Styela clava: one gene and its partners. The protein of the gene in region 1 purifies or fractionates together with the protein of each later gene. This does not show direct contact. Links are inferred from orthologs where the notes say so. Each region holds a gene or a part of one and is shown in the gene's direction. Other genes may lie near its edges.

Region 1 (7,206 bases):
GGCCTAAAAATGCAAAAAAAAACAACAACATTTTTTCCCATTCAATTCATCAACACGGTTTGGGATAGCCTACAAAACTCCATGGGTGAGGTGGTATGTATGGGAATTAAACAAGAGATTTTTAAATTGGGATACCAGCACTTTTAAAACATCGCTCTAATAAGTATCTAAGTTCGATTTAAATGCGACATTATAGCAGCATAGTATGATACTTGGTTATTATATACACATTTCTATTAATTAGTGAATTCACAAAACCCTAGGATCAACAGCCTTCTATTAGTTTTACTTGATACTTATATGTGAACCATTTTCTAATATATTAATGAAATATTTTTTTTTTAGAAAAAGAAAAGAATTGCGGAAGGAATAGAAGGTTGGCATTTTAAAATGTCTATAGCAGAAAAAAGTTTTGTACGAGGGATGGAAACTAAAATATTAATAATTAATGATTTCCATCATCGTTTTACTTCTCGGAAGATAATATTGAATAATAATGTTTAAACTGAATAGTATTGTAGGTTTACTTTTGACCTTCCTTTTCTTATCTCACTGCAGAACAGTATTTTGAACATTTCGCATTCGCGATATGATTCCATCTGATTATTGTTCGTTTGACATATTATTTCCAAATTTAGCAAGAGAAAACAACCTAAATATCGAAGACGACGACGATGATGATGACGACAAGGATGAAGAAATCGTCGCGACAAAACTCTCCGTAAATGCACCATCAAAATTGTTTCTTGCTTACTTCTTCGTGGTAAGATGACTTTCTTCATTAAGCAATGTGAAGTCTCATAATAAGACACTCTATTCATTACATGCCTCTATTTTGAACGGGACACGACTATAAAACTTGACAACAAATTCATATTTAGTTAAAATCCAGGGCATGTTATGAAAAGTGTATGACGATGCTCTAATTAACTCTACAATGTCATCGAGACGTAAACATGATAATTATTTCAACTTGATTTAATAGAGTATAAAATAAAGCGAAAGTATCTGAAAATTTTGGTTTATATACCATCTACACATAAAATTTCAAACACTTTCTCCATTTCGTGACGTTTATTACGCCATCGCTTTTGTACAATATGCTATGTCGTCTTTTAATTCGCATCCTCTTATTTTGTGCAAAATATTTCTCAGGTCTTGTCTCGCACCATAGTTGAAATTGGTTTTACTATTGGCCAGTATTATCTTTATACTTTCAAATTCATGGTACCCGAGTTGTGGCAGTGTCAACATTGGCCTTGTCCAAACGTCGTTGATTGCTTTGTTGGGAGGTGAGTGATGTATTATCTTGTAGCAATATGCAAAGCACAACCAAGTTAATATTTAATCAAATAGTATTACATAATAAAATCAAATTAAGTTTTAACAATCGTCTGCGCTTATATTCAAAAGAATTTAAAACAGATCATCCACGAAAACAGTTTCTGGAATATTTCGTTCGATTAGTAGATATAAAAATAAATTTCGTTACAGACCAAAAGAGAAATCAGTTCTCATTTGCGTATTTTTCGGAACCGGTTGCATCATGGTCATGCTGAACTTGTTGGAACTTTATCACATATCAGGGAATTTCTCAAAAGCATGGAAAGAGAGGGATGATGATATTACCAAACACGCTGACCAAGGGCCCAGTTTCGGTGGTATTGATGATTACGACTACAACGAGTGGGCTCCCGGTGCTGACTACATGGAAGATGAAATAGAGGGATATCCTAATGCATCGGGTTTACCGAATATTCGGCCTTTGCCATACGGTAGAAGGTTCCGACGAGGAAGGCGCTACCGTTGAAATTTCTGTACATTTATATTTATAGCATATATATGTACTGCAGTAACAACATGTTCTAGCAACCCCAAATATAGATTTGTTTGATACCTTTTTCCTGGTTTACGGAATATTTGAAAGCAACTATCAAATAGTCTTTTTAGTACGTATATTAGGGTTGCCATACCGTCCGGAAAATTCCGGACATGTCCGTAATTTAGGGTTAAATTTTGCGTCCGGGAAGAATTTAAAAAATGCCTAAATGTCCGGAATCCTGAATTTTACTGCATCTGCAATCGTACTGTGCACACTGCTAATACAGAACATTGGTATTCGTACCATGCGCATATTTTTTACTACGAGGTCATGAAAATAGTCATGCACTGTCCGGAATTTTGCCTTTTCAAATATGGTAACCCTAACGGCATTGAAAGATCTGTTAATTATTCATTATAATATATATGCATATGTTATATGCATATATGATGGCATGTTGGTTTCATGTAATTGGCTACTCGCCCATTATTCGATGAAGCAAACAATACAAAATGTTGTCGATGCTAAGATATTTATTCTTTAATCGATGTATATTCAATTATCACATGACGATTCAGGCACTTGAGTGTTTGCACAGTCAACAGATCTGTTCCTGATTTGGATCAAAAATCAATTTTCAAAACCTTGAAACATATATAAATATCAAAAGAGTCTTTAGAAACAGGATAAATTTATATATATAGCATTATATCACAATTGCTTGAAAGCCTATCTTAATGTCTGTAGATATTGATTAAAGCAAAATTCCCATTGCAATTGGGCGATTGATATAATTTTAATTCTGAGGCAAATTGAAGTTGATAATATTCTATCCAATTTATATTTGGCAATTTAAAATTTTTTTAAAGCTTTTCCACAACTACCAGACAAACAAAATTCTAGTTAGACTCTAAAATTCTTCGATTCAAACCTAAAGCATTGAAAATACACGACATTGATGTAGTTATATATATATATATATATACAAACAAGTAATTCATAGTACGAGTGGATAAAAGAAAAATGCAATTTGAGTAATCAAGGGATATTTCAACTGTACACGAGATAATAATATAACACTCGGAATAAGAATGCTTTTGAGCGTAAAGATTATTACAGAAAGAAACACCGTCAAGTCGATGTAACTGAAATAATTACGTAACAAGAGATGTTGAGCGAAGTGCTTCATGTTATTTTGAAAGCACCTTTAACCTCACTTAACCCCGGGCCAGACAAAATATTCTCATATCTTAGCCGACACTGATCTAGAATTGGAATAGCCAGCCAGTTAATTGTTCCGGATACGTGGACTTAGGTGGGGCGGATGGGGACTTAATCTTCCATCAGTTGCGTGAACCACCCGGCGTCGACGAGGGCCAATCAAGGCTGCATAATTAACACACAATTGCCGTTTATTGGTTTCATTAACTCTGCTACCAACTAAAAATCATTGCATTTGACTTGTTTATTGTATCTGGATTTTGTACTTTCCACAATAAAATACTACTGGTGATTTGAACTTTGCGTTACTCCCATCGAGTATTACATAAAGGATTTACATATAGCATAAGATAAGTTAAACTATGTCGTATTTCATACGAGGGAATCAATATGGATTCTACACCGGGGAATATCCCGATAAATGCTGCTAGTGCACAAGCTATCGCTGTCGAGTCGGTATTGTGTGCATTGCACCACCACGTATCATGAAAGCGGATAATTTTAGGGAAGTGGTTTGCCCAGACAACAATATTATGCTATATTTCGTCATTCAGTTGGGACTATGGTGCAATTCCTAAATGTGCATATATTAGGTAATTTTGAATGTGGTATATAATTTCTGCGTACAATGTTAGCTAGCATACTGTATATTGATATATCAGTTGTGTCGGCGTTCATTTCGGAAGACGAAACGTCAGTCACATGAAAAAAAATTAGATAACGTACTACGTCTTTTTGCTTGTGTATTAGAATGAATATTTGAACTTTCTTATAGGTTAATTAATGTATGCTAAGCGTAAGTAAATTATTCTTCCGTTCGTTATGTTAGTCGTTGGTTCCGACCCAACGGTTCACCTTTGACCTTCTATGGGTGACATGTGTCACACAAAATTAGAAATCTACAGTACAGCACAATTTTGCACTTGTAACGTAATTTTTAATCGTAGATTCGTAGTCTAATGCATTTGTGTGTATGTGTTGTGTTACTTCCTAATGCCATATTCAAATACACGGTAAAAGAATATATGCTATAAATTTGATAACGACACCTAGGCTACTTCATTTTATTGTTCCTACCTAGACTTAATTTTTGAAAGTTGAGGTTTCGAACGTCTGAACGTCGTCTAACAGTACTGCAGTACCGGTACCGGTACGTGCGGTCAGACGTTAGTAGGTAAAGTTGCATTCAGCATTTGAATCTTTGGTTTTCAGTGTTCAGGTATTGGCAAATGATAATTTATTGGTTATTATTCTGATGATGTCTGGAACGGTATTATTTCCTGAAAATTCTGAAAATTATTTCTGCACCAAGATACTTGCTGCAGTTGAATTCAGCAAAAGCAAAGTGAATATTAAAGTTGAATCATCTGAATCTAAAGGAAAACCAGTTCCAAGGTAATGGTTCATGCTATAATATATATTCAGATATTTTGTCTAAATTCTTGGCTATAATCCAGTAATCAATGGCGTATAAAAAATATTCTGTTTCAAAGGTATGAGTCAGGAAGCATTGTCTTCACAGAAAACAATGCTATTTGTCGATCTGTTTCATCAAAAAGTTTGTGGGGAGACAATGAGTTTGAAAAATCCGCAGTTTATCAATGGATTGAATTTGCAGATGTAGAACTTTATATTCCTGGAAGCGTCTGGACATTTCCTATTCTTGGCATCAAATCTTATAATAAACAGGTAAAACGTGTTCATATATACCAGTCCTAATGATGATTTTATGGGGAATTCGGTGTTTCTAGTCCAAGCATATTATGTCTTCTCATTGTACTACTTCGTTTGTCACATTTTAAAATATATATTTGCACCTTGTGCTGCCTAATATTTTATATAATTTTTCCATGTCTAGTAGAATTTCGTACCACAAGTAGCCTACTTCTAGTGATTGTGGCTCAACAATTTTTGCATATGTGATTCCTAACTCCCATCTCACTACGTCATCCAAAAATTACATCACTACAGCTCACAGTGATGTAATAAGGCCTGTCAAAATATGTGGACAGTCGTCTGAAACGGCAGATGATCACCCAAAATGGGCAGTTGCCATTTTGAGCGATCGTAGCTAGACTACACCTACTAGAAATGGTACTAAACTATATCAGACCCATTTTTTTATATCTTGTATCAGTTATTAAATTTCGTCATTATTGCATTGTATTTAATATTTTTTTATATTCGTGGTTTTGTGTATTTGTACAGGATTTCGCGAAAGCAAAAAGTGACCTAGAAAATGCGCTGAAGTGTTTGAATTCACATCTGGAAACTCGGACATATCTTGCTGGTGACAGAGTAACTCAAGCTGATATTGCTTGTGCAGCTGCATTGTATCTACCTTCACAATTGGTAAGTACTTTTGTTTTGCTACTCATCTGTTAAATTATGGTTTTAATTATTGGAGTCTTAGTTCAATATTGGAAGCGTAGGTAATAATGAAATTGAATGTGTTTGCTGCATCCTAACACTAATTTAGTTCTTTGAAGTTTCATCTGACTGTAGTGAAAATATTTTGTAGTTTTAAATCACTTAAAAAAATCTTCTTTCATACTTCCTATACCAACTTATTCATTATACATTTAGGAATCTCTTGGTGCAAAGGCATGCAGTAATGTTGAGAAAAATGTTTAGTTTATTTCATTGATTTCACTCCCAACTTTTCAAATTAACATAATTGGTTGTCCTTATAATTAAATATTCTGGTATCCCGATTCTCATTCATCATGATCTAGTTACCTCAAGTCTTATTGTTTCACAAATTTGAAATAATGATGCCATATTTGAAGCATTTTGCATCATAATGGAAATGTTGGTTTAAAGAATAAAGACATAGTTATGTTATAAAATATTTGTTTGTATCCAACATCTGTTTATAAACATTAATGAGTTATCCTGGTTATTAATAAAGACTGCATGTGTAGTATGGTTTGCTCAGCTGACTAAAATTAGTTACAGAAATACTCGGTTTTGGCAACACCTAATTTAAAATCCAGAATTCAAGAATCACTAACTCATTTTGTATTATAAGATTTATGGTATTATTATGTAGGTATTGGACAAGAAAACATATGAACCATATCCGAATATGACCAGATGGTTTACAACTGTGATAAACCAACCAGAATTTCGTAAAGTCCTCAAAGAAGATAATGAAATTCAAATTTGTGAAAAAGCAGAAGTTTTTGATGGCAAAAAATATGCAGAAATGCAGAAACAAATTAAGGCATTGAAAGATAAACCTAAAAAGTAATGTTAATTATCTAATTTTTTAGCTTACCTATCCGCTGACAAATTTCCATTATTTATGTACTGCAGGATGCCATAATATTCGTTACAAACAAATGGTGCTCAGATTTTATTTTCATTCTATAAATCCGTTAGCTGTACTAAAGTTTTCAACACTAAAAGGCTATTATCACCAAGCTAACATATCCTATCTTGGGGCTCCTGAAGTATGCGAACCAAGATGGCGGACATCGAAATGTAATATGTGTACTAGGTTAGGGTTAGGCCGTAATTTCAGGTATAAATACTACGGGAGACTCTTGGCTAGTCTTCGAACTGATAATAGGACTAAAATAAGGAAAATTGGAAAAGAATTATCGCCTAACCCTAACCTGTTACCCATGTTACGTTCCGATGTCCGCCATCTTGGTTCGCATACTTCGGGAGCACCCCTATCTTCTTGTATTGGCAAATTTAAATTCTTGCATAAAGGCCAAGGTATTATTTTTTAACCTTTTAGAGAAAATTCAAAAGATTCTAAAAACCAGGATGATGAGAACTCTGGTGCTGGAGACAAACCTAAATCAGCAGCTCAATTAAAAAAGGAAGCGAAAAAGAGAGAGAAAATGGAGAAATTTAATGCAAAGAAGAGTAAAATGGAAGAACAGAAAAAAGCTCAGCAGGTGATAATTGAAAAGTTGCTTAAACATTTAAGTGAAGAAAAATATATCCAAATTTGTGTATATTCTAAAATTTCGCTGTATTTTGATATCTTTTTTTCCAAAGCCTATCTTATTTTTCTTGATATTATAATGCCAATTGAAACAATTTCTAACAGTACTACTCAAAAAGAATTCATAGGCAGGTTTTATAATTTGGCTCTGAACATTTTCTGCCAATGATATAAATTCAGTTTCAAGACTACTCTTGATAAC
Region 2 (7,665 bases), on another chromosome or scaffold:
AAACACGGTATCTCAAATTGATACCAATGAATGGTAATAAACCAAATCATAATATCAATTGTAGCCCATCACAAATAGCGCAGCTATCTACGAATAATTGTAGTGCACCGTTTAAAAACACTGTTTGGTGCTCCCGAAGTATGCGAACCAAGATGGCGGACATCGGAACGTAACATGGGTAACAGGTTAGGGTTAGGCGATAATTTTTTTCCAGTTTTCCTTATTTTAGTCCTATTATCAGTTCGAAGACTAGCCAAGAGCCTCCCGTAGTATTTATACCTAGAATTATGGCCTAACCCTAACCTAGTACACATATTACATTGCGATGTCCGCCATCTTGGTTCGCATACTTCGGGAGCCCCCACTGTTTTATTTGAGTAATAATGCAATTCCCCATTTCAAACACTTCGTTTGTTCGGTCAATCAAGAGTACCGTAATTCTGAATTGGACTAGAACACTGTGATGATGTTTTGTGACTTATGCATGTATTTTTGACCAAAGTTTCAGATTAGTCAACAGACTATACCGCACCATCTTCAGAATCACTTTCAATAAGCAATGTAAGTGACTTAAAAGAAACTCATATATACGGAAAAGAAAAGGGCTGTAAATCAATTCCAAAAAAAGCTTCTAAATAAACGTGAACCAGAAAAGAAACGACGAAAAGAAAAATAATTGCACGGCTTTGTATATCTTGCTAGAAGTTTATTGTAAAGCTTCAAGACATCTCTGTATAATTCATAAAGATGAACCGGCAGTGAGCACATAATTTTGTCTCTCCTCAACAACTTAATCTAGTGGGCATATCCACATTCGTATACATACTTGGCATACATTTTTACTATTTAATTATAAATTCAAAATAACAATCATGTTTTTGTATTCCGAGTTGGTGCAAAAATTTTAAATAAATTGTGCAAAGATTCAAAATTGATATCGGGGTTGAATAATTTCATGTTGATCGCTTGTATAGTTGACTGTATAATCACTGCTATACTTAGGCGCGCCTTGATAGGTAGACATTTGAGTTATAATTGGTGTAATGTTTCTCATTTTAGTTGACATGGCAAAATTTCATTTCGCATTTATAGGCCCCACTGAAAACGCCACTTAATTGAACATTTGAGATATGTTGTGTGTAATGGTTCTCGATATTTTTTTTAGAGAATTTCGTGTTTTAATTACATACCTTCTGAAATGGTCGGATGGTTGAAATTTTTTTTGAATGCTTCCTAATATTATTGTCATTCCAAAATATCATTTTGCATTTACATGACACACTTACGTAGCTGAGTAGATGACGATTTGCGATATATTTTCTGTATTGTTCCTCAATATGGTTTCAAAATTTTGTTTTATAATATTTGTCACTCTCAAGTTATCGGATAGGTGAACATTTGAGATAAATTTTGAGCAATTTTCCACAACATCAAAATATAATTAGTATTCGAAATTTCGTATTTTAGTTATATTTCACACACTAAAGTTGACATTTGAGATATATTTTGTGTAAGATTTCTCAATATGATTTCAGGAATTGGTTTCAATAGTTGTATGCTACACTTAGGTAGTCGGGTATTCGGACATTTGAGATATATATTTTGTGTAATGTTCTTCAATATCATTTCAGAATTTTCATTGTGATTGTTTTATGCCACACTTAGGTGGCCGGATAGGTGAACATTTGAGATATACTTTGTGTAATGTTTCTCAATATGATTTCAGAATTTTCATTTCAATTCTTGTATGCCACACTTAGGTGGCCGGATAGGTGGACATTTGAGATATACTTTGTGTAATGTTTCTCAATATGATTTAAGAATTTTCATTTCAATTCTTGTATGCCACACTTAGGTGGCCGGATAGGTGGACATTTGATTTATACTTCGCATAATGTTTCTCATTACGATTTCGGAATTTTCATTTTAATGTTTTATGCCACTCTTAGGTGGCCGGATAGGTGGACATTTGAGATATACTTTATGTAATGTTTCTCAATATGATTTCAGAATTTTCATTTTATTGTTTTATGCCACACTTAGGTGGTCGGATAGGTGGACATTTGAGATATACTTCGTGTAATGTTTCTCAATATGATTCCAGAATTTTCATTCCAATTCTTGTATGCCACACTTAGGTGGCCGGATAGGTGGACATTCAAAATATATTTTGTGTAATATTTCTCAATATGATTTCAGAATTTTCATTTTAATGCTTTATGCCACACTTAGGTGGACATTTAAGATATACTTTGTGTAATATTTCTTTATATGATTTCAGAGTTTTCATTTTAATGCTTTATGCCACACTTAGGTGGTCGGATAGGTGGACATTTGAGATATACTTTGTGTGATATTTCTCAATATGATTTCAAAATTTTCATTTTAATTCTTGTACGCCACATTTAGGTGGCCGGATAGGTGGACATTTGAAATATATTTTGTGTAATATTTCTCAATATGATTTCAGAATGTTCATTTTAATGCTTTATGCCACACAGGTGGACATTTGAGATATACTTTGTGTAATGTTTCTCAATATTATTTCACAATTTTCATTTTAATGCTTTATGCCACACTTAGGTGGCCGGATAGGTGGACATTTGAGATATACTTTGTGTGATATTTCTCGATAGGATTTCAAAATTTTCATTTCAATTCTTGTATGCCACGCTTAGGTGGCCGGATAGGTGGACATTTGAGATATACTTTGTGTGATATTTCTCAATATGATTTAAGAGATTTCATTTCAATTCTTGTATGCCACACTTAGGTGGCCGGATAGGTGGACATTTGAGATATACTTTTTGTAATATTTCTCAATATGATTTCAGAATTTTTATTTTAATTGTTATATGCCACACTTAAATGCCGGATAAGTGGACATTTGAGATATATTTCGTGTAATGTTTCTCAATAGGGCTGGTGTTCATTTTTCAATTACGTGCCACATTTGAGTGACCGAATAGATGAACATTTGAAATCGAATTTGTGTGATTTTTGTCTTCATTAATGACATACCAGAATTCCCATTTACAATTATTTGGATAACTTAAAAGGCCGGATAGGTGGACATTTGAGATAAAGTTTGTGACACTCACAACATAGCATCTGTTTAATCTATATGTTACACCATAGGGTTGGAATATGCGAACATTTGTGATATGCTCTGTGTATTTCTCAGTTTCAAATATATATTACGTTTGAATCAATTTGTTTCGATTTGTCTACCTTCACGTTGCATTTTGAGTATTTTTTGACATGGAAGATTATTTCTAACACCAAACACAGTGCCTCTCCCTTGCACAAAATACTGAACATTGAAAAAAAATGCTATTTTCTGTGATAAATAATGCTAAATGGTTCGCATCCATCGGAAATTAAAGCGAGGTCATACGCTTTAAAATGCGTAATAAAATAAAAGCAGCATCATTTATGTAGACATCCAGGGCGACATATAAGAGGGGTCCGGCTTAGTGCCGAAATAGGCTAAAACATTTGGTGGTCTGAATTAAGTGGACGAATTAAGCGGACAAAAATTTTATATCTGTTATCGAGAGGATTGTGTTGACTCTTTTTCTCTGTAGTTGTCAACGGCTCTCGCGCTCTCCAAGTACGTATTTAAAAACAATGATACAGACACAGGAACGACGTCCGCTTAAGTACTGCAATTATGGCAGGTCCGTTTAACTACCGTAATAGAGTTATATATATATATATATATCGCCACACCCATCGGGTATTTAACACAAGTACGTGGATTTTAAAGAAATTGCAATCAAGTTGATTTAAGCGTTGGGAACACTCTCGTCGTCGCACTTCTGATTGTTCTGTATGGACTCACAGATTTGAATACCACGGGGGATCATTATGTACGAGAGAATCGCCTTACTCAATATCGTCGAACATTGGCTAATGTATCCTCTGAAAAGTACGCTTTCCGTACAATCAAGTCTATGAGACTGAAACGAATGAAAGGTTTAATATGGCATAATACGACGCTTAGTCGCGCCTTTTGCCACGAAAAGCTCAGGAACGAGCAGCCATTGATACCTAACGTCATCTTAAAGAATCTCGCCACGGATTTATTTCTCTGTCGAAGTTATCCAAGCTATATGGGCGCTCATTTACAGGCTACGCCTATGGAAACTACTCCCAAGCCGGCTATTGACTGGTAACCGGACGAGAGGGCATTATTCGTAATATTGTTGAGTCGTATTATTGGCATTCCCCTTTCATTTTATAAATATGAAATTCATATTCTATAATGAGTCCTAATATGGTATAAGAGAGAATATAACACACTGGGCATTTCTTTTAAGTGACACCTTCCACTAACATCTATTACAAATGATACGACGATAAATAACCCTCAGTATGAGGAAATTTTGCATAATTTGGGTAGGTTATGCAGAGCATAAAATATTCTGTTCCTTCCAAATAGTGTATACTTCCAATTTCAAGTATCTGGAACGCTAAACTAGAGAAGTAAATATACCTATAAGCTCGAGATAAAATTATATATAGGTGGATAGAGTTACAGAGACTGGAAATTTCAGTTGTTTTGTTCACCGGATATTGCAGTAATGGTGCTCTGAGCACATCCGGTAACATGCTTCATTTCACGTGTTCATGACCTTTCACCTTCTGATTTTCGTCAGTTTCCACGATTTTGGTTTCTGTTCCATCCTTCAACTTTTCTTAATTTCGTGGATCAGATTTGATTTTATTGTCTATAAAATGCCTTCAACCGTCCCCATTTCACATTTGCTGTCGGATGTTTGGTTTGACCGACCAAAGGTTGAAGAAGAAGAATACAAATATGAAGTGTACATGGCGAAACAACGGGTAAAACCAGCAGCAAAAGCTGACAAACGGGTGATGGTGATAGTATTTTAATAGCGGTGGTGGTAGCTTACTATGGTTTTGTAGTTGTTTTTGAAATATGGACGTTTTCATGTACTTGATAAAATAATCGAAATGAAACTGTGTTAGCCTATAACCTAACTTTAAATCTCATTCAAAATTATCAAGTCTGTACTGCTCTTAAGTCAAATCTCTCTGGTGAATTAAGCCTGATTTATTTTTTTCAATATCTGAGGCGAATTAAGCATAATTTTAATATTTAGTCTATTATTTGAATAAATGATAGCCTAGTCAAAGCATCATCCATATCTGATTTAATTCGAAAAACAAAGCAAAAAATAGCATTACTAGTAATTTTAATAAATCACCCTGATCAACCATGCTCTGATAATCACACAATTGTCTGAACCCTACTAAATTTACTCATACCCAGCATCCTGAGCCCCAACCAACATCCTCGACCTGTTGTCTGAGTTCTCATCTCAGTAATGCAAGGTCATAAAAATATTACTGTATTACCCTGTAAAAGTCGCCACTTACAGACTTACGTGTTAATAATTTATGAAATAATTTATTTCAAAGTAATTCAGATTTTACAAATATTACCGGTACTTGTCTCATAATACTGTAATATTTATGCATGAATTGTGCAAATTTGAAAATCTTTTCATTCTGTGGTATCATTATAGACCTAATAATTAACTTTTAATTATATGAAATTCTAGGGTGCTTGTGGTTCAGGTGTCGCAGAACAAATTGCTCAAGCCAGACAAAAAATACATCAAACACTACAGGGATCTGATACTGTATGTTGCAGTTTTTTTTAGATTACCATATTATAGTAGTTATGTCTGATACTTTTTTATATTTATTAAATTTGTTTATCAAAACTAGGACCCTTTATTCCAACTTTCATATAAATCTATATTTTAGGGAGTTAGTGGCAATGACTCTGGGAAAGTCGATGCAATACGAAGTGAAAATGATGATTTGAGGAAGTTGGTGAACACCCTCGTTGAGAGAATGAATGCGATGGAAGCACGACTGAGCAAACTAGAGTCTGGCAGTAAAGAAACTGCCGTGCAGGTTGTTAATTGTATGAGTTGGTCCATTGCAAATTGCTGAACATCAATTTACCTTCTTTTATGTTTGTTTAATGCAAGTATAGCCTTCTAAAACCGAAATTGAGCAAAAATCAGAATCTGACGATGATGTTGACGACATGGATTTCTTCGCATCTGACTCTGAGGAAGACGATGAATATGAAAAAATAAAACAAAAAAGATTGGCGGAATATGCTGAAAAAAAATCTAAAAAGCCAGCTGTGATAGCAAAGTCTAGCATTCTACTCGATGTCAAACCTGTAAGTTTCACTTATTATTTAGGTTTTTCTAATGAGAATTTCACCTACTCCAGCATCCAGAACGTACTGGAAGGACCATGTGTTGTCTGGCATAATGAATTGTATGTTGCTTGACATTTAGTGTTATTGGGTGGTTTGTTAATATTATACTTTTTTAGGTGTTATATATTATCATGGAATTATATTGAACAGTGTTGAGTGTTTATAGCTTTTATGTTTAGGTTACATAAATGTATTTTGTACTTGTTTATATGTCACTGGACCATTTGTGCAATCAATTAGATCTTGTGTTGCTCATTTTACTAGCAATACAGGCCTATATATTTTGGCAACTAGGGAATTTAAGTGTGATCACTTTCCAAGACTAATGATGTTAGGGTCAACCCCATGTGTGGCTTGTATTTAGAGCAGCAGTTCTCAAACTTTTGAAGCCGTGCCCCCTTTTTAGAATTTGTCAAGTCTCGTGCTCCACCTTGAAAATGTGTCCCCTTTTAGGAATTTGTGAAGTCTCGTGCTCCACCTCGAAAATAACTACAGTAGCTAACAATCAGCTACAAATAAATAACTGATGATAAGGCGCGTTGGCGCAAAAAAACGTTGAAAATACGTGGATTTAACGTAAATAATGAAAAAAATTGTCCACGCGCCCACAGTTTGAGATCAACTGATTCATAGCCTTGTTTGCAGCAGAAGTGTAAATACAACAAATTATAAAAAGAACGTAGAGCTTGTTTCTACTTTTGTGATTGTGATATTGGTCTCCTTTTAATTAGGAATTCTTACCTTCATTATTAACAGTGGGATGATCAAACAGACATGGGGGAAGTGGAGAGACTTGTGAGGAATATCTCAACAGATGGATTGAAGTGGGCAGCATCGAAATTAGTAGAGGTTGTATAAGATTTTTGCTATGTAGTTGAATTGCTCCCTGCAAGCTAGATACATTGAAGTAGAGGCCCAATTGATGTGTTACCTTATTAGTTATAACGACGATTCAATTTAATGTTTGTGGAACTATAAAAGCAATATTGTATAATATGAATATAACAGTACTCTGTAACCAACTGATGATTGCCATTACGATATGCCTAAAGTAGTTGTTATAAGTATTCTTTTGATTGGTAAATTTCCATCTGGATGACATAACAATATTGAGACTGTATGCATTGTTTGTTGCAAGCACAATCATATCGGTAAATGCAGCCTAGTTCAGCTCATTTGAAACATCATAATGGTACAGAATATACTATTTCGCAGGTTGCGTTTGGAATCAAGAAACTTCAAATCAATTGCATTGTTGAAGATGATAAAGTTGGAACAGACTTCCTTGAGGAGGAAATTACTCGTCATGAGGACCATGTGAGTTTGTTATTGCGAAATTCAATTTTGAGCAGGGTGGTGAGTGGTGGAAGTCTTGGGTAACCTCAAAAGATGTT
Region 3 (7,622 bases), on another chromosome or scaffold:
TAACCATCTTATATATTTAAATTTATAGAGTAAACTAATCTATAATATTGCTGCTGCAATTTTCATTAATAATCGCTTTGTACATATACACTTCATTTTCTCAATGACATTAACCCTTTCCGTGCGGTGGGCACGTATACGTACCAACGACAAAAGTCGCTAGATTGCGGCGGGTACGTTGATGTACTCCACTGTTTTCTTTAGCAATCGGTCGCAAACTGTTGGTCTAGTTTTTCCGGGTTTTAGTTTATTGATAAGAAGTCTTCTTCGAGATTAACATAAGCGACGGTAAATCTCGCTCTCGTTTACGACGGGAATTTTATTTGCGGCGGAACGAGGGAGTGTTTTTGAAATTTATGCAAATTTCGATGTTTTTTGGGTGGTAATAGAAGACATATTATCCATTCCATCTACCAAAGTATTTTGAGTTAGATCACGAAATTGGTACAGCAATATTATGCTATTGTTTGCCAACCACGAAACGGTAACAGTAAAGGATTTAGCGAATATTTCTATTTTTTATCACGGTTTGAAGTTTCAACTCCCAAGGAAAAAAAAATGCCTTTTTTCTATCCGGGTTGTGACTCAGACCACCACTTTTAAAAAAACTTTTTTTTTCAATCGCCAATTGCAAGCTCTTTGAATAAGATTTCCAACGAGCCGTCAGTGGGCAGCAGAGGATCATTAGTTTTTCGTTAGTCGATCGATTAGTTGTGGGGGTACAAATGCGTAAAATCGGCGTAGCAAATACGATTATTTAATTAAAAATAAAAATCGCATGGAAAGGGTTAAACAACATGATAGGCAACTCTGACGTCACTCCATAAGACTACAGGCGAAACATTGTATTTCATGATACGCTCCAATGCACATATTTCTCGTCGACTTTCGCGTCCGTTTTCCGCTCGCTTTTGCTACTCGGCGTCTTTTTTACGTGTAGTACCTGTCTTTTTGCGTCTGTAACGAAACAAAATAATCTCTATATCTAAGAAGTTTTGCTCACTTGGAAAGCTGGAATGGCAGGCAAGCTGTAAAGAGCAATTCTGGACATCATAGACGTTTTTTTTTTATCAGAGAAGATTACAAACGCGATAGCGGAAAGATTTGTGTGGAACATTTTGCAGATAATGACAAAGTTCAAAGTTAGTAATTTTAATGTTTGCGCTTAATCATTGAAGTTTCTTTTTAGGAGGGTGTCATACAAAATTGTGCTGTGATACAATTCCATAACACAAAGTTTGCACCTATCGAACTTGCTTTTGTAGGTGAATTTATTAGACATATTACATATTCAGTTAATCGTAGGTAACATTGCTGGTACATAATGCATCGTAGATAGGTTTGTTTAAATTTAGGAATTTAGCTCATAGCCCACTAATTAATATTATTTTCTATGCGGTAGGTTGCAGGGCTGAATTCAACTTGCAGCCTTACCGACCACCTGACGATGCTCATTTAGTTTGGCTCGAGCAAGTCTTCTTGAAATGCTTGTGTGGATGGAAACTACCTATATTATTTGCCTTCCTCCGATTTTAGACAAATTTATTATGAGGGATTTCACATATCATTCTCATTGATGGTTGGCTGTTTATAATTCCTATTGATTGTGAATTCTGATTATAACAAAGAGTTAAAATTTTTTTTATCTAATTTACTGGTACCTTTTCTTGTCAATACTCCAAGTTGAGGTAATAAACAAGACAATACATTTATGTCATCTGGAAGCAAAATATGCACACTAATTAATAGTTTGGCACATTGAGATAATACATCATGACAGAAAATACAAGTTAAAGATATGTATGACCATCACATGGTAATTAAAATTAAAAAAAATTAATAGGGGCTGTGGAGTATGAAAAGTTCAAGACAAAGAAAAGAACAAATGTTCATAGCTCATGAACTCTCAATTTTGCCTCCATTGTTTTGTGAAGGCCAATATATTTCGAGTGGCTAAATTGGTTTACCTTTATGATAGCAACGATTTTGTATTTAATATAGCGAGATTATTTCAATTTAATTGAAGTGATATTATTTCCCAAAGCAATGCTTGAATCGTCTAGAATAGATCAGTGGTGTCAAACTTATGGGTTTTCGAGAGCCGCATTGCATTTTGGAAATTGTAAAAAGAGCCGCAAACAGTTTTTGATAATGTATACTTAAAAGATATTTTTAAGATAGTTTTAGTTTGTGACATATATTGTGATGCAACTAAACAGTTGGATTAAGTTTTATTATTTTCTTCAATTTCAAATGCAATTACATATTAATATTTGCATTCCACTATTATTGCAACATTTGCAAGTTACTGTAGTTATTATGAAAAATCATAAAATTCTATGTACAACCATCAAAATCATTTTTGAACAAGCTTTAAATAAGGAAAGAATAATACATACACTAAAAATAACTTAATCTAAATATATGAACCTAAAATTAACAAAAATACTACAGTATAAACTCAATGTTTTAATAATTACATTTGTCCTGACGTTTGGCATCTTTTTTGTGTCACCAGCATACTAAGGCCAGGCTGAAATGATTTTATAGTACCAACTCTAACTAACGAGGCCACATGATCATGGGTTAATCTGGATCTTTGCGAATGTTTAATCAATTCCAGTAATGCAAAAAAAGTACTTTTATCATTTCATGTATACTGTAGATCAGTAAAAAAACAAATGACAGATTTTTTCGACAAGACATTTCGCACCACATTGCGTGGCATAGGATTGCTTGAATTATTATTGATATTGATTTTTAGTAACTAAGTCGTTGTATAAATATATTAATATACAAACACATGGAAATTTTCTGTTCGAAGTGGGTCTTCGAATTTGTCATATTGACTGCTGAGCTTATTGTGTTTTTTCATTGTATTGATAGAAATATGACAATTTTGCGAAAAGCAGAAAAGTTACAACTCCCATTTTCTTCGAAAATGCCACCTTCTTCATGTACTTTGCGTTTAATTTAATCACTCAAGTGTTTATTCAAGTATTCTTTTGCAAGCTTGATGTGTATTCTTAATTGGGTCAAAATGTGGACAAAAAAAATTCATATTCCAAAACTACTTTCAGTAAATTGTTTTCTGTGTGAATAATCAATTTCACTTTAAAAGGTTTGAAAAATCTATTACATTTAGATAAAAAAAAAATAAAAATACTATTACAATTATTGTTAAGCGTTCGAGGGCCGCACTCGAAGTTCTCTGGGGCCGCGAGTTTGAGATCTCTGGTCTAGATTGAAGTTGTCCAAAAATATATATGATAGTATTTTATCATGAATGATGATTATACCCCTTCCGGAATTTCTTCTATAGTACTACCAAAAGGTGATGAACCAAATATAACACAGGTGCAGTGAGTTACCCGTAATCCTCATTTTCCAAAGCTGTTTCAAGTATGTCTGGCGTGTTTTGTGCCTCTTTACAAATAAGACCGAGTATGTAATTTTACGCTTTGCAATTTTTAGTTATTTTCCTCAAGCCCTGCAGGAATCAGGATGTAGGGGTCATACACAACTCTACCGGAGGGTCAAATGTCTTTGCATGTCACTGATATGTCGCCAGACTTCTGATATCTCCCCTTCTGCTATAGTTGTTCTGTGAATAAATAATAGGAAATTGTGATTAGACGAATAATTGAAAGTTTTGCTTTATGTCGGCTTAATTTCTTGATTGATATACTTACTATTTCTGCTATTGCCTCTTGTGCTGCAGGAGTCTCACAATGCTTAGACAGGTTTGTCCACAACTTTCACATCTGAAGAAAGAGAGGAGATTTATTAATTTTCGTTAAGAATAAATAAAGCAGTCTATATGATTTAGAATGGAAAAGCTAATGAATCCAATATCTCATGTTTTATGTAAAAAATATTTTACTGAATTTGGTCAATAAAACAAACTAATAAAAGGGTTTAGTCAGAAAATTACAAGCATTCGTGGCTCCAAATATTTGAGAGATCAGACTATACAATATAGACCGGTATGAGTGAAATGTTAGGTGGACTTGTTAACACTTTGATTCAATACGCAAATAAAAGTGAATGCGCAATAGTATGTTACAATGAGCAGCAATCAACAATGAGTATATATCCTCACTGATTAAAAAAATCTAACTGGAGGTGCATGAACTATTTGAAACCATAAGGGGTAAGTAAATATGTAATTTCGGCAAATGGGCAACCACGTACCGTACTGCATGTATAACTTCGTAGTATTTGACAAAGGCTGACTTTCCCACATGTACTTAACAGTGCGATGCCCGGGTGTGATATACAACAATAGTATTTACCTTACCTTTTTCCGATTTCTTTTTACCTTAACTTTCCAAAATATCATTAAAATCGACAACAACTGTCAAAGCAGGCACGAACACCATTCGTGCTACGCCTTGAAAGCAGCACACATCCGCTCGTTTTCGTCTCGTCAAGTATGTGCATTGGAGCGTGCTATCGAATACGATCTTCGGACAAAAATGCCGGAGTTGCGCATCATGTTGTTTAATGTCATTGATTTTCTGGATAAATTCGGCCCAAAATCTGTTTCGTGGCACGAAACCACGGTTTATCGGCAAAGCAATGAACCGTGTTCACTGAAGAACCCTTTTCCCAAATTTTGCCACGCGTTTGGTTTGGATTTCGTTCTCTTCTTTTGTTTAATCGCCGTAATTTCTTTAAAATGGGTTTCGGAAATTTGAAGAGTGACTGTGGATTATCTGCACTAAATACCTATCTCGAAGATAAAAGCTATATCGAAGGGTGAGCTTGATTTTTTTGTAAATTATCTCGTGTAAATGGGCATAAAAAAGGTGGGCAGGGCAGTGACGTCATACGCGAACAGTTAAACATATTTTGGGATTCATGCTTGCAAATACTGTAGGGATTACAATGAATACGGATTTCTATATAAAAAATATCAACATTTCCTAAAAAATAGTTATCTTCCCATACCGTAAAAGCGCCTAACTTCGGACAAAATTACTATATTTTCGTCAATAACTCGGCCATTTATTGTCCAAACGTTGCAAATTCGTGCGGTAATTTACATTCCCTGCAAATTTCGGTTCAATTGGACTATTTTTACTATTGAAATAATCGATATTTCTTGCCATCTGACCGTTATCCTTCACTGCCCTAACTTCGGACAGTCATTTTCTTCACTGCGTAACCGCGACGCACAGAGAGAAAGAGGCTTCCGATGCGGATGACGTAATCACGTCGTTGCGTGAAGATAAGACGCTCGATCGTCGTCGTAACGTAACATTGACGTCACGACGAAAATGCATTATTTGAAACTTCCGTCGTCCTATGTTTACATCTTTCGTTCGTCATTTTCGATACTTCAGATGAGTATAATAACACGTTAGTCATTTTAATCAGGAAATGCATACGTAAATATATCTGATGCAAACCGTTTCAATCCACAATGAAGTATTTTAACGGGCTTCTATCGAAGTCTTTGAAGTATTAATATTTTTATTCTGCGCGGTTATCTTTATAAATGATAATTTATATCAAACACACGGAAAATCCGATTGTGAAGTTTAATTTAAAATTCAACTTAATCTTGTAAACATGTAGGTCCCGTTTATTTGTTGGAGATTAAATTTATTTTTAATTTCGAGTGAATAAAATTCACCCAGGCCTCAATAACTGTCATTTCGACTACTAATCATAAAATAATGGTCGAGTCAGTGCACTGTGCCATATGGACGTTGGAATTTCCATAGTTTTATATATTCGATTTTTAACGTCATCGATTAAGTGTGACATGTATTTTCATTAATGTAATTTTGGCATATATTCATACATGACCGAACAAAATACAAAAATATTACATTGGAACGCCGTCTTTATCTTAACGGAAATTGTCATATTGGCTCCGTTGTGTCTGGCGTCAAAATTCATTTCCGCGACGCAGTGTGACGTCGTGTCGGAAGTGAGCGAAAAATAATCTACGTGAGTTTGACGTAATTTTTGACGCTGCGTGAAATCTTAATATTCTTACGGAATTTATAATTCAGAATTTTAGGTTTTATTTAAATCTCGTACGACATCTTGCGATCACTCAAATGAATTATATACATTGTTGTCGCCCTCTACCGAATGATGGTATTTTGACGAGGATAGCTTCAGTAGGAGCGACGCTCTGCGCCGTTGAATGGCGGGCAGTCAATTTTCGGCAAAATTTCCGTTTTTTCACCAAAAAAATAAAAATGCAACATTAAAAAAGATGAGAATAGATGTAGATATAACAGCGCAACCTATAATAATTAAAATTACCAATATACGGCGCGTTTTAGCCAAGATATGGCCGTTCAAAAATTTTGTCCGAAGTTAGGAACTGTCCGAAGTTAGGCGCTTTTACGGTATTGCTGTATTGAGATTTTTTGAACTTTATTCAGTTATTGGACATTCATTTAAAACTTTTTCCTGCGTTTTATGATTTGTAATTAGTGTATGAGGAAGTAAAGGCCTCATGGGTTTGATACATCTGGAAACCTGTCTTGACCTAATTTAAAAACTGCTGGGGCTGCAGCTATCTTTTTATTTTCTGGCAGTTGAATTGTAATTAAATTTTGCAAGGTGGTATTACATTACCGGTATTGCCATTTAGTTTGGATCGAGTGAAGTAGATACCATACCGTAACTGCTTAAATAACGCCCAACTAAAATGTGATGTGAAATTTGCGCAAGACGGACTTTCATTTCTATAAAAAATTGAAAATCTGGGTTCTATTTTCACATCACATTTATGTTTGGCGTTATCGAAGTACTCACCGCATTTGTGTTTGCGGATATTCAAGCAGTTACGCTTACTTCACGAGACCCTTTAGTTTTTTACCAACATGTTCACACAGTAAAATAAGATATTTGTTTTAAATTTTAGGTATGTTCCATCACAAGGAGATGTTGCCATATTTGAAAGTATATCCGGCCCACCCAATGCCAAGCATGTTCATGCGTTACGTTGGTACAATCATGTTCTCTCATACAAATCACAATTTGGAAGGTTGGTAAAACAGTCAAAACTTTCTACTATAATCCATAAAACATTGGTTTTACTATCGTTCTCAGCATTTTATTAAAGAAGTCTTACATATGCCAAAAGTTTTGTTAATTAAATTTGATGGTCAATAGTTAAGTATTTTCAACCCGAAGTTTCTTGTAAGTTGAGACCGTAGCTTCGTTTGTAAAGTGTGCCTAACTATGATTATCCTGCTGCAGACACCTTAGGGCAATTTGGACCCCACTGAAAATCGAAGCGCATCTGGTCGGGATAATGGTATTATGATTGAAAGACTGGTGATTCTGTCAGATCACACCTCACTCCCCAGTGCACAGTGATGAAACCTATTTACAAAGCTTTTCATGCTGAGATAATAATTTGGATCGATAGGACTGAGTGCACAGCAACATAGGGTTGGTGTAGTGTTATACCCTCCCAAGTCTGAGAATCAAATAAAATTTTGTATTGTGCGGTCTACATACATCCAGCGGCAGTGTAAGTAGTTGGAATCCTGCACTCGCCCTTACATAGTGTGGTGGCAATGTTTGTTGATGCATCAAAATGATGTGAATGGATTGATAACTTGTAAACTAGCGGCTCGCACGGCGAG
Region 4 (7,311 bases), on another chromosome or scaffold:
TGTTAGACTCACTGCCTCAAAGGTGACGCTGCTCGATAACCATCTCTGGTTTATCGCGTTTCCCTTCAATACATTTTTTTATCTTTCTCAATTACGTTTGTCCAATGTGTACTTTTGGTTTGCGGGAAAATAAACTACCTCCTGGCTGACTGTATCCAACGCGCCCACTCATTTTCATGTAGACCTACAAACATTGGCGACCAGGACAACCGAACAGCTTGTTACAGGATTTAGAACACTGTGTCGTCATGCTGTATTTTAGAAGCGGACAATGGAATGACGTTCCATGTCATTATGGGATCAAATTTACCTGCAAAATGGCTCCAGGTAATAAGAAACAAAAGTTCCATTAGTATAAATAAACCATTAAATGACATTGTTTGGTATACCAAACTGTCGGATATATGTTCGACTTGGCCCCACAGCATACAACAGGGAAGGCCAGCTTCGAATGTCCTTCGAATTTAAACAACTAATTCACATTTCTCCACGTTTCCGTATAAGTACATAATCGTAAGTATTTATCGAAAACATACCTCTCTACTTTATACATTCATCATTTTTTCATGAAACGTTGTACGTAAGTTTTGGAGATACTTGTTGGCAATAAACTCAGAGTCTTTAATGCTATTTAACAAAACTTTTTATACCTTTAAATAATACTATCTATAAAATAAATAATCCAGTGTGAATTTCTTGACAATCTTTAGTCGGCTGCAAAGAATTACCCAAAATTGATCATGCCTCTGTGATTGATCCAGTAAGATCATATGGAGTTGGACAGTTTGTCCAATATCAGTGCACAGACGGGTATCGAGTGTATGGAACTAATCATGTTGTTTGTCAAGAAAATGGACAGTTTTCAGAACCACAGTTTACTTGTATTGGTGAGCTTCCTCTACTTATATCCACATATAGCAATGTATTTAATTAAAAAGGTTTACAATGTTACTAAAACGAACAACTATATTTATTTATATTTTCTTATAATACGAATGCAATAAAATATGCCCACCAATTTTGGATTCCTCGTGAACAAATATTATAATCCAAAATTCGTCGCGATGGAAAGATAAAATTAAACTTGAATTATGAATATTATTGCGAATAAGACCTTACTCAAAATTAAGAGCAGACATATCTATGGAAAAATGAAGAAGTCCAAATTTTTTAAGTATAGCAACTAGAAATGGACATAGTATGAACGAAAAGAAGAAAAAAACTATCAAAAACTAAAGAAAATTTTACTTGAGATGACTTTTTATATTTTCAGATGTCCCACATGATATGTTTTCTCTTTTGTCTCCTTTTTACCAAATATTAAAGATTGATGAAACTACATTAATTTATACCATAGCAAGAAATCTTAATGATATCCATCCAAGTCTTTCGATCATTCTAGATTAAAATAAATTATTATATTGTTTTTATTCTTTCTTTCAAGTTTCGTGTCCAATGCCTCCTCCGGTGAAAAATGCGGAAGTTCCTTTATTACAAGAGAGATATTTTATTGGCGATGTTGTCAAATATGCGTGCAAGCCGGGCTACCGAGCAAGAGGACATGCCTTTTCACGATGCGAATATGATTTGACTTGGTCTAAACCTCGCCTTGTTTGTGCAGGTAAAAAGCCATTTATATACTTAGGTTCGTTAATGCGATTAACTAATGTTTTATATTTGTATTGTGTTTAGGAACATGCCCAGCACCAACCATTGTTAAAAACGCCGTATTAACATCATTTGTGTCCACTAGAAGACAGATACGCTTTGGACAATATGTTTACTACAGATGCAAAAACGGTTTCGAACTGAGTGGAATACCAAGAATAAAATGTGGGCAGGACGGAGAGTGGGAAAGTCCTGAATTCGCATGCCACGGTAAGTTCCAAATATTTTATGAATTTATTGTAAAATTTAGAGATTTACTGAAAATAACGAAAAGAGCAAGAAGGACAGAAAGAAACGTTCTCTGGGCCGAAGCATCACTTCTGAATATGTCAAAGGAAAATTTGATCACATCGCCCTACTAGTCATGAAAGCATAACACGTTATATATACATGTTTACAGCTGGTTGTCAAAATCCACCGTCCGTAGAAAACGCTCGCACAACTATACAAAGGCGACTCAACAGAGAACAAATACTTGTTGTGTATGTATGCTTACGTGGTCATGAACCACGGGGACGCACATTGGTTTATTGCACAAATGGAGAGTGGACAACGCCAAAATTTACATGCAATAAAGGTATGTCATCTTAATGGGTTATATTAAGTCACGCAACAATACTGGATTGAACCACATGTGACTCATTAAAATGCGTGTTGTCCAGTCCATGAACTTTAGCTTTGGTTCTAACTGGAACATTGTATATTATTAGAAAATAAAAGGCGTAATAAAATGACAAATGATGGAATTCATCAAAATACGTGTCGTCTACAGAATTTTCCAAATCAAGTTTTGTGGCATAAGCATCCGGACGTATGGAATATAAACTTTTAGTGGTATATTAGATAACTATAATTATCAATTGATTCAAGTTCTGCTTGAATTGAACGAAGAATTTGGCAAATGTTTATCAATATTGTAGCTTCGTCGAGACGAGACTGGAGAAGACCTTCCAGACCACGTCGTCCTATCGTAAAACGAAGTCTTCTGCAAGGCGATAATCGAACTTGGCTGAACTGGATGCTAAGTCTTATCAACTAATAAATGCAATTCAATATTAAATCAAGATCTCACGACACGAATAATTATGTGGTGAATGTATTAAACGCTTGAATTTATTTGCTTTATTTGTACTGAACCTTTAAATAAATAATCATGCAACGGTGGCCTACATACCGGTATATTGGACTCGCGAGTATGAATTTGTATTCTCCAGTTCCGGTTAGCGCAAGAATTACAGTTCACGTACCGAATGTAATACCCTGCGCTCCGAGCTGAGAAGATTGCCTTGACTCTAGTAGAGCAGTGGACGGCAAACTGAGCTCATGAACGATTCTTGGACCCCCGAACGACCTCATTTTAAATGCATAAAATAAAAATTGCTCATCAATTTATTAATATCTAAGCACGGATGTATGTAACACGGAGTTTAAGGCAGCATTTATTAGGCGCAACGCGCAACACTACCGTCAATGTGCATATTTGGTCAAGTACTACATAAACTTTGCCGTCCACTTCAGAATAATAGTAGATTAGGAGTACGGTATTTTTCAATTAAGACTATATATATATATATGGTAATGGCGAGCGATTGACCAGCGGGTAACAAGTGACCCACCTTGTTTTTCAGTTACACGTTAAGTCACAAATTAATGTAAAAAAATGGGCTTTCATTTCAGTGATAAACGCAATTTCAAACGGGAATGCTTCTAATTTCATCGGATATGTAAAAAAATACACGCTCAGGATTTTCAAAATTTATATAGAATCAAACTAAGCAAGATAATTTTACGTGATAACTAAAGGTCTGGACCAGACATGGGCCAAGTACGGCCCACGAGCCAACTCCAGTCCGTTGGTTAATTCAATCTGGCCCGCATGATGCTGTGACAACCAAACTAAAAACAAATTTTGATGTTTTAGCTAAAATAACTCAAGGAATTTGTTGAAATTGCGATTAAATTCAGTCTTATTAGGAGGCTTAATGTTTTTCACCTTTGCTTTGTAACACTATAAATAATGTTCATAAAATGTAACTTTTTACATCACACTTACATTGCCCGCCAGACTAGGTGGGCAAAATTTTTGACCCCTGGTTCAAAAACCTTACCCACCGAAAGAAAGCCAAAACAAAATATTCTACACACACTTCCTCCGAAAATCGTATCCTATAACTTTTACAACTTACACCTCAATAAACAAATTCAACTCCTGCGTCGTCACGCTTGGACGAATAAAAACAGTGTTCCCATAAATAAACTTTTGAACGAAATATAAGCTCTCATAAGATTCATAGAAAATAAATAAATAGGAACAAATAACAGAATGGCCTCCTAGTAACAACAACAATCTTAGATCATTAAAAATTTTCAAGAAATCGAATCAGTAGTTGAAAAGACAAATGATTTTTTCACAGCAACAACAACAACAAAAAAACTCAGAATACTAACAACAACATAATATTATTAATAACAAAACGATCTATAGGTTCAGTTCGTGTTTAATAATAAGTAAATAGTAAAATAATATCAGGTAATTACATTCCAAAATAAAATTAAAATACCTAGTATATCTAAGTGTTTGTCAGGTAGTGACATTCGGAGAATAAAATGACGTATACAAAACCGCGTGTCATTTTACTCCTTTTTTGTCCATGGTGGACGTCCGACTTTTGCACGCTGACGGCTCTCGCGATTTTGGTTAAAATCTCGAAATTTGGTTGGGTACAGAACTTCTGGATAGTTTATTTTACGATGTCAGGCACACTATATACATTTCCCGACAGTTTCCGGGCACACAAGATCCTGATTGCTGCTCAATATAGCGGGAAGACAGTTAATGTCTATCCAAACTTTGTTGCTGGAGAAACAGATAAATCGGCGGAATTTCTCAAGAAGTTTCCGTTTGGGAAGGTAGGACGGTGAAGATCCTTTAATTGTTTTTTTGTCATTGTCTAGCTAACTTAGCGGGTCTATCGATCTTTCCCATATTCTGATATTGCTGTATTGGGATCATTTCGACTGACTGTTTGACGAGAGAAATACGGTACCGTACGGGTCTCGTGTAGTTTCCTACCTAAGGTACTTCTAGTATGCGTAGCATAACAATTTTTTCACGTGTCAATCCTAACCCCCACCTGACCACACCATCCAAAAATTATGTCACAGTGACGTAATAGAGCCTTTCGAATTATGCCAACTCTCATCCAAGACGCGCAGACGAGAACCCGAAATCGAATAGCCATTTTTCTCATTTTCTCGTCGCAACGATCCCGATAGGAGAGAGATCGCTGACGTTAGTCAGTTCTTTATCGTCGGCGCCGATGCCATTTCGGGCGATCATACGAGTATTTGACAAGCTCTATGACGTGATTGCGACGTCGTAGAGACATAATTTTTGGATGGCGTAGTCAGGTGAGGGTTAGGATTGCAATGTCAAAAAATTGTTATGCTACGCCTATGAGAAATACGTTAGGTACGAAACTACACGAGACCCAGAAATACATAGCTCAATTTTAGGCGCGCGTCTTGGATGACAGTTCGTATAGTTTGAAGGGCCTTATTACGTCACTGTGACGTAATTTTTGCATGACGCAGTCAGGTGGGGGTTAGTATTGACATATGCAAAAAGTGTTTTCTACGCCCATCAGAAGTACCGGTAATTGAGGCACGAAACTATACCAGACCCTAAACATATTTATTACGGTACATTACTTTATTATTAGAAAGATTTAATATTGTCACCAAATTCAATTCAAGCAAAAACTAACTTAATTCCATTCAAACTTTCTTCATACTTAATAACCTACATTCCGACATTTCTAAATTATTATAAATATTTAATATTGTCATTAAATGCAGTTCAAGCGAAAACTAATTCCATTCAAACTTTCTTAAGTCTCAATAATTATAGTAATTTTTTCATCCTCCGCAACACTTTTCATCATTCTTAACTTAAACCCTTTGAAAAGCATGCACTGATATCTTAACAGGTTCCAGCATTTGAATGTGGTGATGTGAAGCTATTTGAACCAAACGGAATTGCTCATTATGTTGGAAACGAACAAACCCGAGGTGGAGACAGAGAGGCAGAAGTAAGAAATTTTGGCATCCTAATTTTTTATATAGATTCAAAATCAAGCTACAATTTTAATATTGGAAAATTCTGCAATATTACTATATCCATTGCCATGCATGCACGTTTAGTTCTTTTCTGCAACAACGGCTATGTTACTTATGGATTGAAGTAAACATATTTTTCAACAATTTAAATGAATTGGATTTCAAAATTTGTTTTCTTAATTTCGTATTCAGGAACATATTTTCAACCTTATTTTAATCATTATTTATACATCTATCTGTCATACAGTAATCAAATGTTACTAAGAGGATGAAGGTTATTTGCTTATGATAGGATTTTCATATTCACCCTTGGGGAGAGGAAAGTCAATAGGATGGCATAATCACATGACTTGCCTTGGCCTGTCTTCGGTAACCAGACCATGTTTGATATGGTATCAGGATAGGATTTACATATCCTGGGGATAGGAAAGTTGATAAGACGGCATTATCAAAGAAGCCGTAATTGACCAATGGTTTCATCAACCACCCTACGGCGGCGAGGAGTCCAGCAATCCTCTTGTAAATAACCGTCCTTGCGTGCATAGGATTCGAACCTGCAAACCCACGCAAAGTAATCCTAGGTGCGATGGCGGGCGTATTTCTAAAGTTTAGCATGATGTGCCACACTGCCGAGCCATCATTAGTTTGTCAGTTATTTGTTTAATTGCACTGGGTTCGAACCTGCAAACCCATGCAGGGTAATCAGAGGTTCAGCGGCAGACATTTCCCAATGCTGGGAACAATATACCATTCCCCAGCCTTCACTATTCAAGAACTCAAATAATCGACTTATTCTAGGTACTACAATGGATAGGCTTAGCTGACAATGTTATTCTCCCTGCAGCCTGCACGTGGGTATATCCGACCAAAGGAATTCTTCAGTTTAACAAACAGGTAATAATAAGAGTTGTATAGTGTTACACCACAAAATAATTTATGCTTAAATGGGATGTGAGAATATTTTAGTTATCACTGTTTTTCATTTTTCCATTTATAAAATCAAGACACAGTAACAAATAGGGTGTGTTGATTTTTTCAAATGATTGCTAGAGTTGAAGACTTGTTACTGATGCCCTATTCTATTCTTAAATAAACAGGAAGTATGGGATGGGTCATATTATGACATTCGGTATCAAATTATTTGATGAGATATACAAAGTTTTTATTTGGGTAGTTCAGTTTTCTTTTGATGACTTTCAAATAATTTTGGTCTGAAATTCACAGAAAAATTGCTCTTTACAGATGGTTTTAAGTAGGGGTGGGCAAAATCGAAAAAATTTTCGAATCGAATGATTTGAATATTTTTAACGAATAACGAATATTTTTTCATTGGCCGGTTTTTACGGCGATATCCTGAAGTTGGATCCCGCCCGTTCTCTGTTTTTTGCGAGGATTTATTTATACAGGTTGCGTTGGTTTTGGTCTTCATTATTTATCAACTTTTGTAAATTTACCGTCCGAATTTTAAGCGTGCGGTAATATTATCGATACCGAGATGCAGATTTTTATTATGACGATAATTAA

Evidence for each region.
Region 2: the proteins of valine--tRNA ligase-like (region 1) and elongation factor 1-delta-like purify together in Homo sapiens (affinity purification with mass spectrometry; 5 studies listed by BioGRID and IntAct, counting the BioPlex papers as one, with this or other methods). This does not show direct contact. The link is inferred for Styela clava from reciprocal best matches to the Homo sapiens genes VARS1 and EEF1D.
Region 3: the proteins of valine--tRNA ligase-like (region 1) and elongation factor 1-beta-like fractionate together in Homo sapiens (co-fractionation; 3 studies listed by BioGRID, with this or other methods). This does not show direct contact. The link is inferred for Styela clava from reciprocal best matches to the Homo sapiens genes VARS1 and EEF1B2.
Region 4: the proteins of valine--tRNA ligase-like (region 1) and elongation factor 1-gamma-like purify together in Homo sapiens (affinity purification with mass spectrometry; 6 studies listed by BioGRID and IntAct, counting the BioPlex papers as one, with this or other methods). This does not show direct contact. The link is inferred for Styela clava from reciprocal best matches to the Homo sapiens genes VARS1 and EEF1G.

What each region holds. Positions count from the first base shown.
Region 1 is NC_135254.1:12,253,324-12,260,529, forward strand, and holds the start of valine--tRNA ligase-like, read left to right. Parts: upstream 1-4,205; 5' UTR 4,206-4,298; coding exon 4,299-4,438; intron 4,439-4,536; coding exon 4,537-4,732; intron 4,733-5,251; coding exon 5,252-5,395; intron 5,396-6,095; coding exon 6,096-6,292; intron 6,293-6,791; coding exon 6,792-6,954; intron 6,955-7,206. Other genes in the region: gap junction alpha-3 protein-like, read left to right, coding at 346-376, 639-763, 1,156-1,292, 1,495-1,810. UniProt on the Homo sapiens protein: Catalyzes the attachment of valine to tRNA(Val).
Region 2 is NC_135255.1:3,748,379-3,756,043, forward strand, and holds the start of elongation factor 1-delta-like, read left to right. Parts: upstream 1-4,643; 5' UTR 4,644-4,740; coding exon 4,741-4,878; intron 4,879-5,591; coding exon 5,592-5,672; intron 5,673-5,799; coding exon 5,800-5,952; intron 5,953-6,034; coding exon 6,035-6,229; intron 6,230-7,027; coding exon 7,028-7,120; intron 7,121-7,486; coding exon 7,487-7,588; intron 7,589-7,665.
Region 3 is NC_135263.1:4,633,627-4,641,248, reverse strand, and holds the start of elongation factor 1-beta-like, read left to right. Parts: upstream 1-4,602; 5' UTR 4,603-4,681; coding exon 4,682-4,761; intron 4,762-6,892; coding exon 6,893-7,015; intron 7,016-7,622. UniProt on the Homo sapiens protein: Catalytic subunit of the guanine nucleotide exchange factor (GEF) (eEF1B subcomplex) of the eukaryotic elongation factor 1 complex (eEF1).
Region 4 is NC_135261.1:11,231,342-11,238,652, forward strand, and holds the start of elongation factor 1-gamma-like, read left to right. Parts: upstream 1-4,303; 5' UTR 4,304-4,419; coding exon 4,420-4,578; intron 4,579-5,657; coding exon 5,658-5,759; intron 5,760-6,585; coding exon 6,586-6,681; intron 6,682-7,311. Other genes in the region: uncharacterized protein LOC144430572, read left to right, coding at 183-327, 711-887, 1,445-1,621, 1,693-1,878, 2,069-2,245, 2,589-2,707. UniProt on the Homo sapiens protein: Probably plays a role in anchoring the complex to other cellular components.